3 linked regions of the Xenopus tropicalis genome follow. The protein of the gene in region 1 interacts with the protein of each later gene in a pairwise test. Links are inferred from orthologs where the notes say so. Each region holds a gene or a part of one and is shown in the gene's direction. Other genes may lie near its edges. The genes, in order: dmpk, atxn1 and hspb2.

What was found.
Region 2: the proteins of dmpk (region 1) and atxn1 interact in binary tests that used the Homo sapiens proteins (3 or more experiments, as listed by UniProt). The link is inferred for Xenopus tropicalis from reciprocal best matches to the Homo sapiens genes DMPK and ATXN1.
Region 3: the proteins of dmpk (region 1) and hspb2 interact in a two-hybrid assay, tested with the Homo sapiens proteins (2 studies listed by BioGRID). The link is inferred for Xenopus tropicalis from reciprocal best matches to the Homo sapiens genes DMPK and HSPB2.

Annotation. Positions count from the first base shown.
Region 1 is NC_030684.2:71,035,451-71,039,102, reverse strand, and holds part of dmpk (myotonin-protein kinase), read left to right. Parts: intron 1-476; coding exon 477-740; intron 741-2,520; coding exon 2,521-2,597; intron 2,598-3,652. UniProt on the Homo sapiens protein: Non-receptor serine/threonine protein kinase which is necessary for the maintenance of skeletal muscle structure and function.
Region 2 is NC_030682.2:93,270,862-93,275,156, forward strand, and holds the start of atxn1 (ataxin-1), read left to right. Parts: upstream 1-1,438; 5' UTR 1,439-2,505; intron 2,506-4,126; exon of another isoform or gene 4,127-4,295. UniProt on the Homo sapiens protein: Chromatin-binding factor that repress Notch signaling in the absence of Notch intracellular domain by acting as a CBF1 corepressor. Binds to the HEY promoter and might assist, along with NCOR2, RBPJ-mediated repression. Binds RNA in vitro.
Region 3 is NC_030683.2:84,506,401-84,510,586, forward strand, and holds the start of hspb2 (heat shock protein beta-2), read left to right. Parts: upstream 1-1,235; 5' UTR 1,236-1,267; coding exon 1,268-1,361; intron 1,362-4,186. UniProt on the Homo sapiens protein: May regulate the kinase DMPK.

The DNA of each region.
Region 1 (3,652 bases):
CATGATATTTCTAATTTTGCCACCTGTTCCCTACTATAAAAGAGTTTTCACGTATCCATTTTTATTATGATGAAAAGTAAATAGTTTTACTTTGCTTTATTAGAACTGCCTTCTTGTGTTTTATTCTGCTAACATTTAACCCCAAATATTTTACAAAATGTGTTTTTTGCAGTTCTCTTTTTTTGTTTAGGGCAGTGGTTCTCAACCTGTGGGTTGAGTCGAACGACCCTTTCACAGGGGTTGCCTAAGACCATCAGAAAACACATATTTCCTATGGTCTTAAAAACCCCTCTATTGTTGGGGGTCACTACAACATGAGGAACTGTATTAAAGGGTTGCGGCATTAGGAAGGTTGAGAACCACTTGTTTAGGGGATCTTTGATTTTTGGACTATGATTCAGTGGCACAGAAAAAACACACACAAGTTCCCAGCATACCTAACAGGTTTACATTACATGCTTTCCATCCCCCACCAGGAGCACTTTATATTCCCCCCTTCATCCAGCGAGGTTTCTTCTGAGGCATTAAGCTTTATCTCATCTCTCATCTGTGACCGAGAAACCCGCTTGGGAAGAGGTGGGCTTCAAGATTTCCAGATGCACCCACTATTTGCTGGCATTGAATGGGAAAGATTGATGGACAGTATTCCGCCATATGTACCTGAGTCAGAGGGAGCCACAGATACCTCAAATTTCGATATGGTTGAAGATCAGCTTTCAGAGATGGTTAGTGGTGGAGGTGTAAGTATCTGTTAGTCAAACAGTTATTATTAAGTTATTTCAAAAATTTGTCAATTGTTTTGTTAGGCTTGCAAATTATTTACAGTGTATTTGCTTTTAAAGAATAATTTATTACTTCAATAAATCCACTATCTATGAATCTAAAGTCTTATACATCATATACAAAAGAGGTCTGATATTCACATTGTAGGTGCATTCCCACTGTGAGAGACAGCATTTAAAATCACATTGTATGATTTTTAAAGAATTTATTAGTATTGCACTGCTGCACATAAGTATTTGAACACCTGGCAATCAGCAAGAATTCTGGCTCTCAAAGACCTGTTACTCTGCCTTTAAGGCTGATGGCAGACGATGCGTAGGGCGGATATTTTCGGCAAGCAGAAAAGCGCTTGCTGAAAATACCACCCTATGCCTCCTACATGTGCCTGCACCCGAATGAATGAGATACGCTCGGGTGCAGGCACATGTAGCCGAAATACGCATAAAAATGTGAGAGAATGCGGTCTCGCATTTTTATGCGTATTTTGGCTACATGTGCCTGCACCCGAGTGTATTCCAGTAGGAGGAGGCGTAGGGCAGTATTTTCAGCAAGCGCTTTTCCCTCTTGCCGAAAATATCCGTCCTATGCCTTGTCTGCCATCAGCCTAAATAGTCCACCTCTACTACGCTCATTAATCTAAATTAGTAGCACCTGTCTGAGCTCTTTAAAGATACCTGTCCACCCCACAGTCAGTCAGACTCCAACTACTACCATGGGCAAGACCAAAGAACTATCAAAAGACACCAGAGACAAAATTGTGGACAGTTGTGGACAGATCAACTGTTGGAGCAATTGTTAGAAAATGGAAGAGGCTAAAGACAACTGTCAGTCTCCCTACGACTGGGGCTCCATGCAAGATCTCACCTCCTGGGGTATCACTGATGATAAGAAAGGTGAGGAATCAGCCCAGAACTACAAGGGAGGAGCTGGTCAATGACATGAAGAGAGCTGGGACCACAATTTCAGAGGTCACTGTCGGTAGAACACTACACCATCATGGTTTCAAATCATGCATTGCACGGAAGGTTCCCCTGCTCAAGTCATCTGTGGGCAGCCGTGTAATAGGAACACTGTGTAATCAGTTTGTGTCAACTGCACTTCTTATAAAGAGGTGACATTCTTACTATGTAGAGTATGTGTCTTGTGCAGTTTCCCATTGGTGTTTTGGATTCTGAACGTGTCATCTTAGGGCTCTGGTACACGGGGAGATTACATGTTCGCCGGTGGGATGGCAGGGGGAAGGCAACTCGAGGAGATTAGTCGCCCGCGAGCAGGGAGTTTTGCCGCAGGCGACTAATCTCCCCGAGTTGCCTTCCCCCTGCCATCCCCCCAGCGAACATGTAAGTCGCCGGCGGGATGGCAGACGCGGCGAGGCGATTTCGGGAAATCGCCGAAAGCGATTTGCGCGAAATCGCGCCGCCGCGTCTGCCATCCCGCCGGCGACTTACATGTTCGCCGGGGGGATGGCAGGGGGAAGGCAACTCGGGGAGATTAGTCGCCCGCGAGCAGGGAGTTTTGCCGCGGGCAACTAATCTCCCCGTGTACCAGAGCCCTTATTGTCTACAATACTCTCACTCCAGTGGCATTTTGGTAGCATTACCATCTTTTAATTTTTCCAATTTGTATTGTTTTAAGGTGAATAGGTGTCAGTGTTGTAGGTTTGATGAGTGATAATTAAAAAAGTGATAATTTCCTTTTCCACTGGCATTTTTGAAGTATTTTATCTTTTGTTCCCAGGAGACACTCTCTGATGTTGGAGACAGCTCTCCTCTTGGAGTTCACCTGCCTTTTGTTGGCTATTCTTATACAGTGCGGTGAGTGAAAATGGCCACAAGTCTAGATGCTGCAGATTTTAGATATTCCAACAATTCTGTTTGATATTTCAACTGGATATGTATTATATAGCCTATGGAGTTGCTATGGGTTACTGCTCCTGGGCAAACTTATTACCTTTTTTTACATATGGAGGTATTTGTGGTATGATTCAACTTTGGTCTGACTTGGTGTGTTGCTCACGTTTATGAAAAATTGCCTAACCAGAATCTAGTCATGGCCAGCTTAAAAAGCACAAACTTTTCCCTGGCTTTTTCTGAAATTACTTTCAGCAGGAGACTTAAGCTTGATCCTAAATTCTGCTCTAAAGAGATAAAATGACTGCTAGTTATTTTTTTTAAAAAAAAACAGCGTGACTTTTATTTCTGAGGACTTACAAAGCAGTCTGGATCATTATGCTTTTGCCTTAAAGGAACAGTAACACCAAAAAAATGAAAGAGCTTTAAAGTAATCAAACTATAATGTACTGTTGCCCTGCACTGGTAAAACTGGTGTGTTTGCTCCAGTAACACTACTATAATTTATATAATAAGCTGCTGTGTAGCCACGGGGGCAGCCATTCAAGCTGGAAAAAAGGAGAAAAGGCACAGGTTACATAGCAGATAACAGATAAGCTCTGTAGAATACAATAGTGTTTTATCTGTTATCTGATATGTGCCTGTGCCTTTTCTCCTTTGAATGGCTGCCTCCATGGCTACATAGCAGCTTATTTATATAAATTATAGTAGACTTTCTGAAGTAAACACACAACTTTTACCAGTGCAGGGCAGCAGCACATTATATTTTAGTTATTTTTATACACTTTCATTTGTTGGTGTTACTGTTCCTTTAAGGTACCTTGTATCACAAAGCCCTTCTTATTGAGCTATCCATAGACCATAGATGGGACCCCGTCCACTGTACAGTTGCTGACTATAACCTAATGCTTATTTGAACTGAGAGCTTAAAAAGCATAGACAAAACAAGTTGTACCAGCTGCTTCATCAACTGAGATATTGTAATGCAGACTATAGAAAATTCACTGTGATAAAGAAAG
Region 2 (4,295 bases), on another chromosome or scaffold:
CTTTAAAGAATGGCATTTTTCCAACACAACTGTGGCAACCTTGGGGCGCCCACTTTCTTGAGGTACAAAGGTTTGAGCTAGGTAGGGAATATCCTACTGCTGTTCTCTATGTAAAAGGTGGCATGTGGCTGGATATGGATATGGATGTCTCATAAGCAGAAGTCCTGCTCAGTGCAAGCTTATAGTACAGGTTCTAGTTCACTCAAGTATGGTGAGCAATATTAAAAGGGCGTGGATAGCATTTTAATGGCCATATGGCCAGACATAATGGAAGACATTCCTCCAAATAGTCCCTAGTTATTATTTATTACTGCACCATATACATAAATGTTATTGAGTAATAGTTACATTTATCGATACTTTACCTGTGAGATTTATGTTTGACAGTTTATGAAATACCTTATTTCTCAGCATTCTAAGCATTCAAGCTTATTTCAACATTCTTCTACATTGTATCCGATTCTGCTTCTGGAGAATAACAATATGGTTATAAAATAGCCAAATATTACCTAAACCACTATACTATCTATCTATATATATACCTATCTATTCTATATATACCTATTACTAGTATCTGTTAGGAGAAATGGAAGAAAATAGGTGCAAAGTTTGCTCCAGATCTATTCAAATAAATAGCAATTAATCAGCAGTTAACATGCTGCAATTAAATACTCAAAAGTCATAAGGGTAATTTATAATAACAATACATGTAACAGTATTGTACATATTTTGTAAAAGCTTATAAGCTTATCTGTCATGGCTCCTGTGGGCCCAGCAGGTCAGCCTTATCCAGTCTTTAATGCATGCCACATCTTGATCCGCGTTTGGTTGCTCCCATTTCTCTCTCTTCAGTATGGACCACTGATGCTCACTCCGTCTTAAACTGAGATAGCTAAAGACACACCTTGGAGGAGTTCAAAACACAAAAAACATGCATTAAAAGAGTAGTATTTTTTCCCACTTTTTTAATACTTTTTTGTATATTGCTTGTATGCTTGTTTGAATATTCACTTAAAGCTGTGGCCCTACGCCCATTTTTGACCTACAGTTCAGTTTGGTACTGCAGCTAAACAACTGTGAGACATCCTTCTAACTACTTAAAGACTTATAATACATCTTAGGTACTTTTATTCATATCACCCCCCCAAAGGCCACCTTTAGTGTTGGTGGCTGATGGAAGATGCCCTCTATATCGCTTAATACAACCAGCCTGGACTGTTTGTTTGTACCAGGGGCAATGTTCAGCCAGGAAGCCGTGTGTACACTTTACTGTGTTTGCTGTTACTTATTGCAGGGCATTGGAACTGTGAAACAACAAAAAAAACCACTGCATGACATATATGAAGGAAACAAGCCATCTGCTTGCTGTGTTTTCCACAACCTATTATGTTTTACCACCAGAGGGTACTCTTCAGGGTCACCGAGTCTGTTAGCATGCTTTTCAGTAACCCTCTGTTCCCTGGAGAGAGGAAAAAAAAACACAACAGGTTAGAAAAGTCCTCAAACACTTGACACCTGCTGGACAAACAGTCAGAAAATCACAGGCAATAGGTGCCCTTGGTGCTGTTTCCCACAAGGCAGCAGCTGAAGCACCCAGGAAGTGAGCTGTAATAGAAAACGTCTTTACATGAAGGGGTATGCCCAAAGCTGAAAGTTTCAGGGATTTTCATTCCCTTATGAGATAGGAAAACACATTCACACAAATAGGACGGTGCCTTATTGAAAAAAGGCTTATGTGGTGGAATGAATTCCATTGTTCAGCCTGCTGGCACAGATAGGGTTAAGCCAGAAGCGATTTCCTACATGACGTGAACACGTAAGGTCTGCGTTGTTCCTCTCTGTGGACATTGAGCTTGGCTTGCCCTTACAATTCCTACTCTCTGCCTCTCCTCCACCCCTTCTTCTCTTTCCAACAGAGGCACACACCCTACAGGAATCAAACGTGTGCACGTATTAAAGTTACTCCGCGCTGCTGCTACGTCTCTGCTCGCACTTTCTTCCTTTAAATGATCCTGAAGAAGAATCCCGAAAACCTCTTTGTTTTTCTTTTAAGGGGAACACCCACATTTAAAACTGCACCCTCAGTAGCTGTAGAGATACAACAAGTATACGGCAGGCTGGCGGATCAGCACGTAGAAGGGGTTAAAGCCGACCGCCCCAGCTCTGTTGTGCGTATGCAATAATCTGTGTGGCTGCCTTGGCCGTCTGCCAGAGTGTTGCCTTGCCTCCACACACACTCTCTGCCCCCCCCCTTCCTCCCTTTTGCATGAAGTAGGATCCTTGAGCTGTTGCAGAGGCAGCCAACTGCTCCATATTTGGCTTCTATTACACATTTACATACTGGAGAGAGAGAGGGAGAGAGCTGTACTGCAGACATCATTTCTACTACAGTAGAGGAGACGTACAAGACCTGTCTTTCTGCGAGGGGGGGCAGAGTAGGAGGAAAAAAAAAGCAATAGCTCAGACACCCTCTTCATCCAACAAGCCCCTATACTGCACTTTACAGTAAGTCGATTTTATTTGTCTCTTCACTTTTCTGTTCTGATCATGCAGACCTTAGTGGGCAAGTGCTATACATGCATGTACTATAGCATTTCCATGTACAGAAGCTTCTCTGGGATCATCTGTAAGCCTTGCAGAACTACAGATCACAGGCTTATTTTTCCTGCTTTTTATACCCCCTGAAAGAAGCAGCGATAAGTGAAATCAGTCAGAGATACAGGCATGTATTTTTTCTGTTCGCTGAAATGATATAGTGCAGTGCCTACCAGGAGTGCACCATCGGTGCAAATGTTCTTGATGAGTGCCGCTGTCTGTGTTTCGTGTAGAGTGGGGCCTGCTTTCCATAGGAACTGAGAGTAATAGAGTGTTTTACCCTGATCAGTAATAGGGAGACTGCAGTAATTGCTTTCCCCATGGGGTAATGAAGAGAGCCAGTGTGAGTGTGTGTACGAGAGAGGAGAGCACACGTTTATGTCACCTCTCTTAGTCCCCTCCTCCTACTGTCTGATCTATCAGTCTGCTTCTCTTCTATGGAGACCACCTGGTTCCAGATTACTATAGAGACACTTGCACAATCTTGCCATTATTTTGATTGTAGGGTTATTCCATTATTCATGAACATAAAAGAACTGGAAGGGCTACAGATACAGAAAGCTAGAAGGCTGAATAGAGGTAATTAGGTAAATTAGGCATGCCCAACATGCGGCCCTCTTTGGCTGGACTACAACTACCAGCATCCCTGGCACTTCCCTGAAAGCAGCCATAAAACCTGGCTTACTAGGTATAAAATCCTTTCTAATATATTTTTTTTATTAATGATATTAAGCCATGTAGTTCAATGTTTAGTGAGCTTACATGTTTGTGATCAAAATTAAACAGACAGGGCTGCATTTTAGCTCTTATGTTGCACTTTCACTACATACAGTCCATATTATTATTATTATTGTTGCTCTACTTTGAATTCATGTAAATAGGCCTAACCAATGACAGAATGTGGTTAGGAATTTGCACAGAGCTGGCCTAAGTAATACAAGTTGCCCTACATTAAAGCCAAGGCATTGTGTTCTGAACCACGGCCTAGTGCTGATAGAAAGACAGGCCCGGAGCATTTGGCAGACAGACTGCTCCACCCCACAGTGCTGGGTTCTGTCCTCGCTGCTTTTACCCTGCCCTCCTGGAGAACAGTATGATCCAGTCTGCTCCTTCCAGAAACACTTTTATAAAAGTAACAGTTGCCATTTTTAAATATGACAGTTATTGTGCTCGCACAAGGCATGGATTTTTAGGAGTGAGCACATAAATTGCAATACATGCAAAATACTAAACTATATTGTGTTAAGAGGCTTATCTCAGTTAAAGCAGATCTACTTTGCAAGGGGATGGTTCCTCTGCTTATTGTGTTTTCAGGCATTAATGGCACTGGTATTATTGTTTAGGTTAATCAGGTTGTGATTACAGACAAAAAACAGTTGCAGAAAGCACAGGTATTTCTATATTCTATTGGCCTCCGTTTTAATGTGCAAAAATATTATAACAACCTAGAAGAGTCGTGTGAGCTGCCGAAACAAGAAGTATTTTTCTACATGACGCGCTTCAAGGCTACAGATCTGCTAGAGCATTTAAAAATCACTAGAATTGGGTCATTCTCTCTGAATGACGTGGAGCCATATGACAGTCTTATCTCATCTGAGATGTAGCTGTACATAAATGCTTGCCCAGTGTGGAAGCTCGCTTGGATGAAGGATTATTGTGTTCTTATTGCCTTGTTTGTACGATTGTGTGCCGGGAGTGTA
Region 3 (4,186 bases), on another chromosome or scaffold:
TGATATTCTTCATTAACACTTCTACAGTGTACATTCCTTCAATTTTAACCTTCAGCACTGGATCTTTTTCCTCCATCAGCATTCATTCCTCCACTTTTAATTCTGTCCATCACAGCAGATGCTTCCTTTTCAGGTTGTGAAGGTCATTACTAGTGAAGAGCGAATCTGTCCCATTTAACTTTGCCATAAAATGTGCGAAAGAGCAAGAAAATTTGCGAAATCAATAAAAATTCGCGAAACGAATTTGTTGCACAATTTTTTCCATGTCTTTTTTGGTCGCCCACGTTTTTTTGATGCGCCCATGCCCAATTTGCCATGACCGAACCCTTTTTTCCGTTGCAAATTTTTATGGGAGTTTTGTGAAACAATTCACCAATGGTGAAATGCGGAAATTCGCTGAAAATCTATGCCTGATGAAAAAATTCGCTCATCGCTAGTCATTACCAACATCAGGTGATCAAGATTTCCATCATCCATCACCACAAAACCTCAAGCTGCAAGATGACCTCTATCTTGTACTTCCCTTCATAACATAATTTCATGTAGCTTGGCAACAATATACAGATGGCACAGATAAAGTTTCCTATGTAGAAAGACCCTAGCCTATTGTAACTGGGTTCTTCGAAGACACATAACCCTGGCTACGAAATACATCCTATGGACTCCTATAAACAATGCATCCTATGAACAATATAGAAGATGCAGAACTCTATACTTCTCCTCAGTCACTCTCCTTCAAAAATAATTCTTATTCATCCAACAACATCTAGGTGCCTGTCAGATAGACCTGCTGGACAACTTTTGAAAACTCAAACTCCAAACTTCCATAGACTGGACTCAGGAACCTCAGTTTATGAATTCCTTTTTCTTCCATTGACACAACATACCTCATTATCTTCATGAAAGTCTTCATCAAAGTTCTAGTCTATCTGGTATGGCTACCACAGATATATTGAATTCTGATTTGCTTTAATTATTTTTGTTACCTCAGCATCCATATACAGTATGTACTGTATGAACTGAAATGATACAGTTTCCAGGCCAGAAAACTTAACTCATAAATCCAAAAAGTGTCCCTGTGAGCTATTCTGTTTACAGAAACCTTAAGCCTCAGCAACTAAAGTTATTTGGGGGCTTTATGGTATCAGAGTTTCCCCTCCCATCAGCTCCCGGTGATTAAAATGTTGAAGGCAGAGGCTGCTTTCTCTCATCTGCACTGCAGCCAGACACCTCGATAGAAACCATCATTATTTTCCTACTTGGGTCGATGGAAGGTAGAACTGTGCCTCATGCCTATCCCATGAGTGCAGAATATGAATTTGCTAACCCAACCAAAATATTTGACCAAAACTTTGGAGAAGGTAACTAAAAATGTGTATTTTTTTTTGTTTGATATAATTGGCTAAATAAAAAAGGTAAAGAGAAAGAAGAAAAAGAATTATTAAAAAAAAAATACTTGAAAAACAGAATTGCGTAACTTTCAGAGCTATCACAACAATTAAATGAACATTTTACAACCCAGCTTTTCGCACTCCCTACTGCATTGCCATCTGGACGGTAAAATGTATGTTTGATGCCAATGTTATCTCCCTACATAGCAGAGCATAGTTTTTAGCAGAGCAAGTATTTTAAAATACAAATAAATCCCCAGAACTTGGGTCTTGGGTATAATAAAATAATTTATTGTGATTTTGTGTATGCAAAACAGTTTCAAGCCAAAGAGATCCTCTTTAATACTGTGTATCTGTATATTGCATTTTTATTCTATTAGCCATTAAATGATAGTGCTTAATGCCAGAAATATAGCCATGCTAATAGTTATTTCTCCAGTTTAGCAACTGTGTGCATGTAAGATGTTCACATACACCCCAGCTTTCTTCTCTGTTATCGATAGCTGCACATTTTGTATGAATTTACTTATTGTTTGTTGCCTGCTACACAATGGGATCATACTATGCTTATTGGGGCCAAGAGAAAGAACAGAGGCTATTTCTGCATCAGTTGTTGCTCTGCACTGCAAATATATTTAAAAGAATATTCTTTCTTGATCAGTGCGGAAGAGCAAAGTTCCATGTATAAGTTTTGTTTGTATGATGAAAACATCCAGTATGTTTGTGCTAATTTAGGGTTTTACCCATGGCATTGTATACAAAAATGTTTTGAATTGATTATGTTTTTCAAGGTTTTTAGAGCGTAATGTGTTTTGGCTTCTGCTGTAAATCTAACATACTGCAGGTTGGATATCAGTTTAGTTTACATAAGTGCTGGTAACTGGTGCTGGAGGTCATAAAAATAGTAACACAGCTGCTCCATCTCTCATTGTCTGTGTTGGCATAGACAGTGACTGTGCATTGACATTTTATTAAGATGACTCTGCATCCCTTATAAGTGACTGACACAAACAACAATTGGCATGAGTTAAGCTCACCATTATTGTGGATTGATCTAACTCCTAATATGTTTAAATTACTTAATGAGTGTTTTCAATATCTTTGCTATTATGTACTTATAGGGAGAGGGTCTGCTGAGGGGTCACTTGGGTTAATAATCACATACAGGTATGGGACCTGTTATCCAGAATGCTCGGGACCTGGGGTTTTCCAGATAAGGGATCTTTCTGTAATTTGGATCTCCATAACTTAAGTCTTCTAAAAATCATTTAAATATTGAATAAACCCAATAGGCTTGTTTTGCCTCCAATAAGGATTAATTATATCTTAGTTGGGATCAATTACAAGGTACTGTTTTATTATTACACAGAAAAAGGAAATCATTTTTAAAAATTAGAATTAATTGCTTATAATTGGAGTCTATGGGAGACAGGGTTTCCGTAATTCGGAATTTTCTGGATAATGGGTTTCTGGATAAGGGATCCCATACCTGTACTCCAATACTCTACTACAGGCACTTCTGCCATGTACAAGTAGATCAAACTGTTTATACCTCATTTATCTCTATGATATAAGCTATACTTATAAACAATAGGGCAGAAAAGAGAAAGAGTCTCTCTTTTAGCATGAAGCATGTTAAAGTAATAGTGACCCTAAAAAATTATTCTTCAAATTATAAATGTATGTAAAAAGTTACCTACAGGTCATGTCGATCATTTTTCACTGATAGGCCTGCTTTTGTAAATAATTGTTACTTAAAGTTTCTAAACCCCACTGTCCCTCATAGCCCCCTCATAGAGGAACATGGGGATTAGATGTGTGATGTAAAGGCATTGTACAGATACTTTTTATAGCAAAATTGCAAAGAGATTGAAAGACAATAGGGTTGATTCACTAAAGGTCGATAAGCGTTATTGCATGCTTTTTTGTGTTAAAATTGATGCGAAAAAAGCATGCGATTCGCTAAAATATTATCGCATGCCTTACGTTAAATAGCGCGCAACCGAATGTGTTCATTTTAACGCATTGCGTTAATTCTCGCACAGAAATAATACTAACGCATGATTCACAAACACTTAGACGCGCTAAATATCGCATTCGTCTGTGCGAAAATTAACACCTACTTGGGGCAGGCGGTAATTATAGAAAAGTACAGTTCATGAGCTTTTGGCAACACAATATGGACTTTGCAGTGTGATTTATTCAAGTCTGTGTTGGCCCTAGAGTGATGTAGCCTCCAGTTTGCAGGGAAATGGTCATTTTCAGAATAGTAGTTTTCCGAAAGTAATGGTGTGTATGGCTGTTAGGAGAAAACTGCACCAGCCCAGGGTAGCTGCGAGCACTTCCTTCTTCCACGTTGGTGCACTGCGCATGCGCATTAGAGTGAAAAGCCAAACTTTAACAACAAAGTCGACTTTTCACTCTAATGCACATGTGCCAGCCCAGGGATTTCACCGGTAGAAGAAACGCAGAAAAAGGAAGCGCTCGCTACAGCTACCCCGGGCTGGTGCTGTTCTCTTCGAACAGGGGCACCAGCCCGGGGTACAAGGTAAGCGATTTAAGTCACTTGGTGGTGCCTAACATTTTGGCACCTCCAAGTGACTTAGCCTTTCCTTCTCCTTTACAGACACAATTGTAGGAAACAAGTAAGCCTTCACCTCCTAATTCAATCAAGAAAAATAATAAATGACAGTAGATTTTTCATTCATTTCAAGCCGTGTACACAAACTTTCCATACTCCCAGAACCTCAGTCTCATTATGCGAAGATTGCACTGTCCCTTTGTCCTCTTTCTTA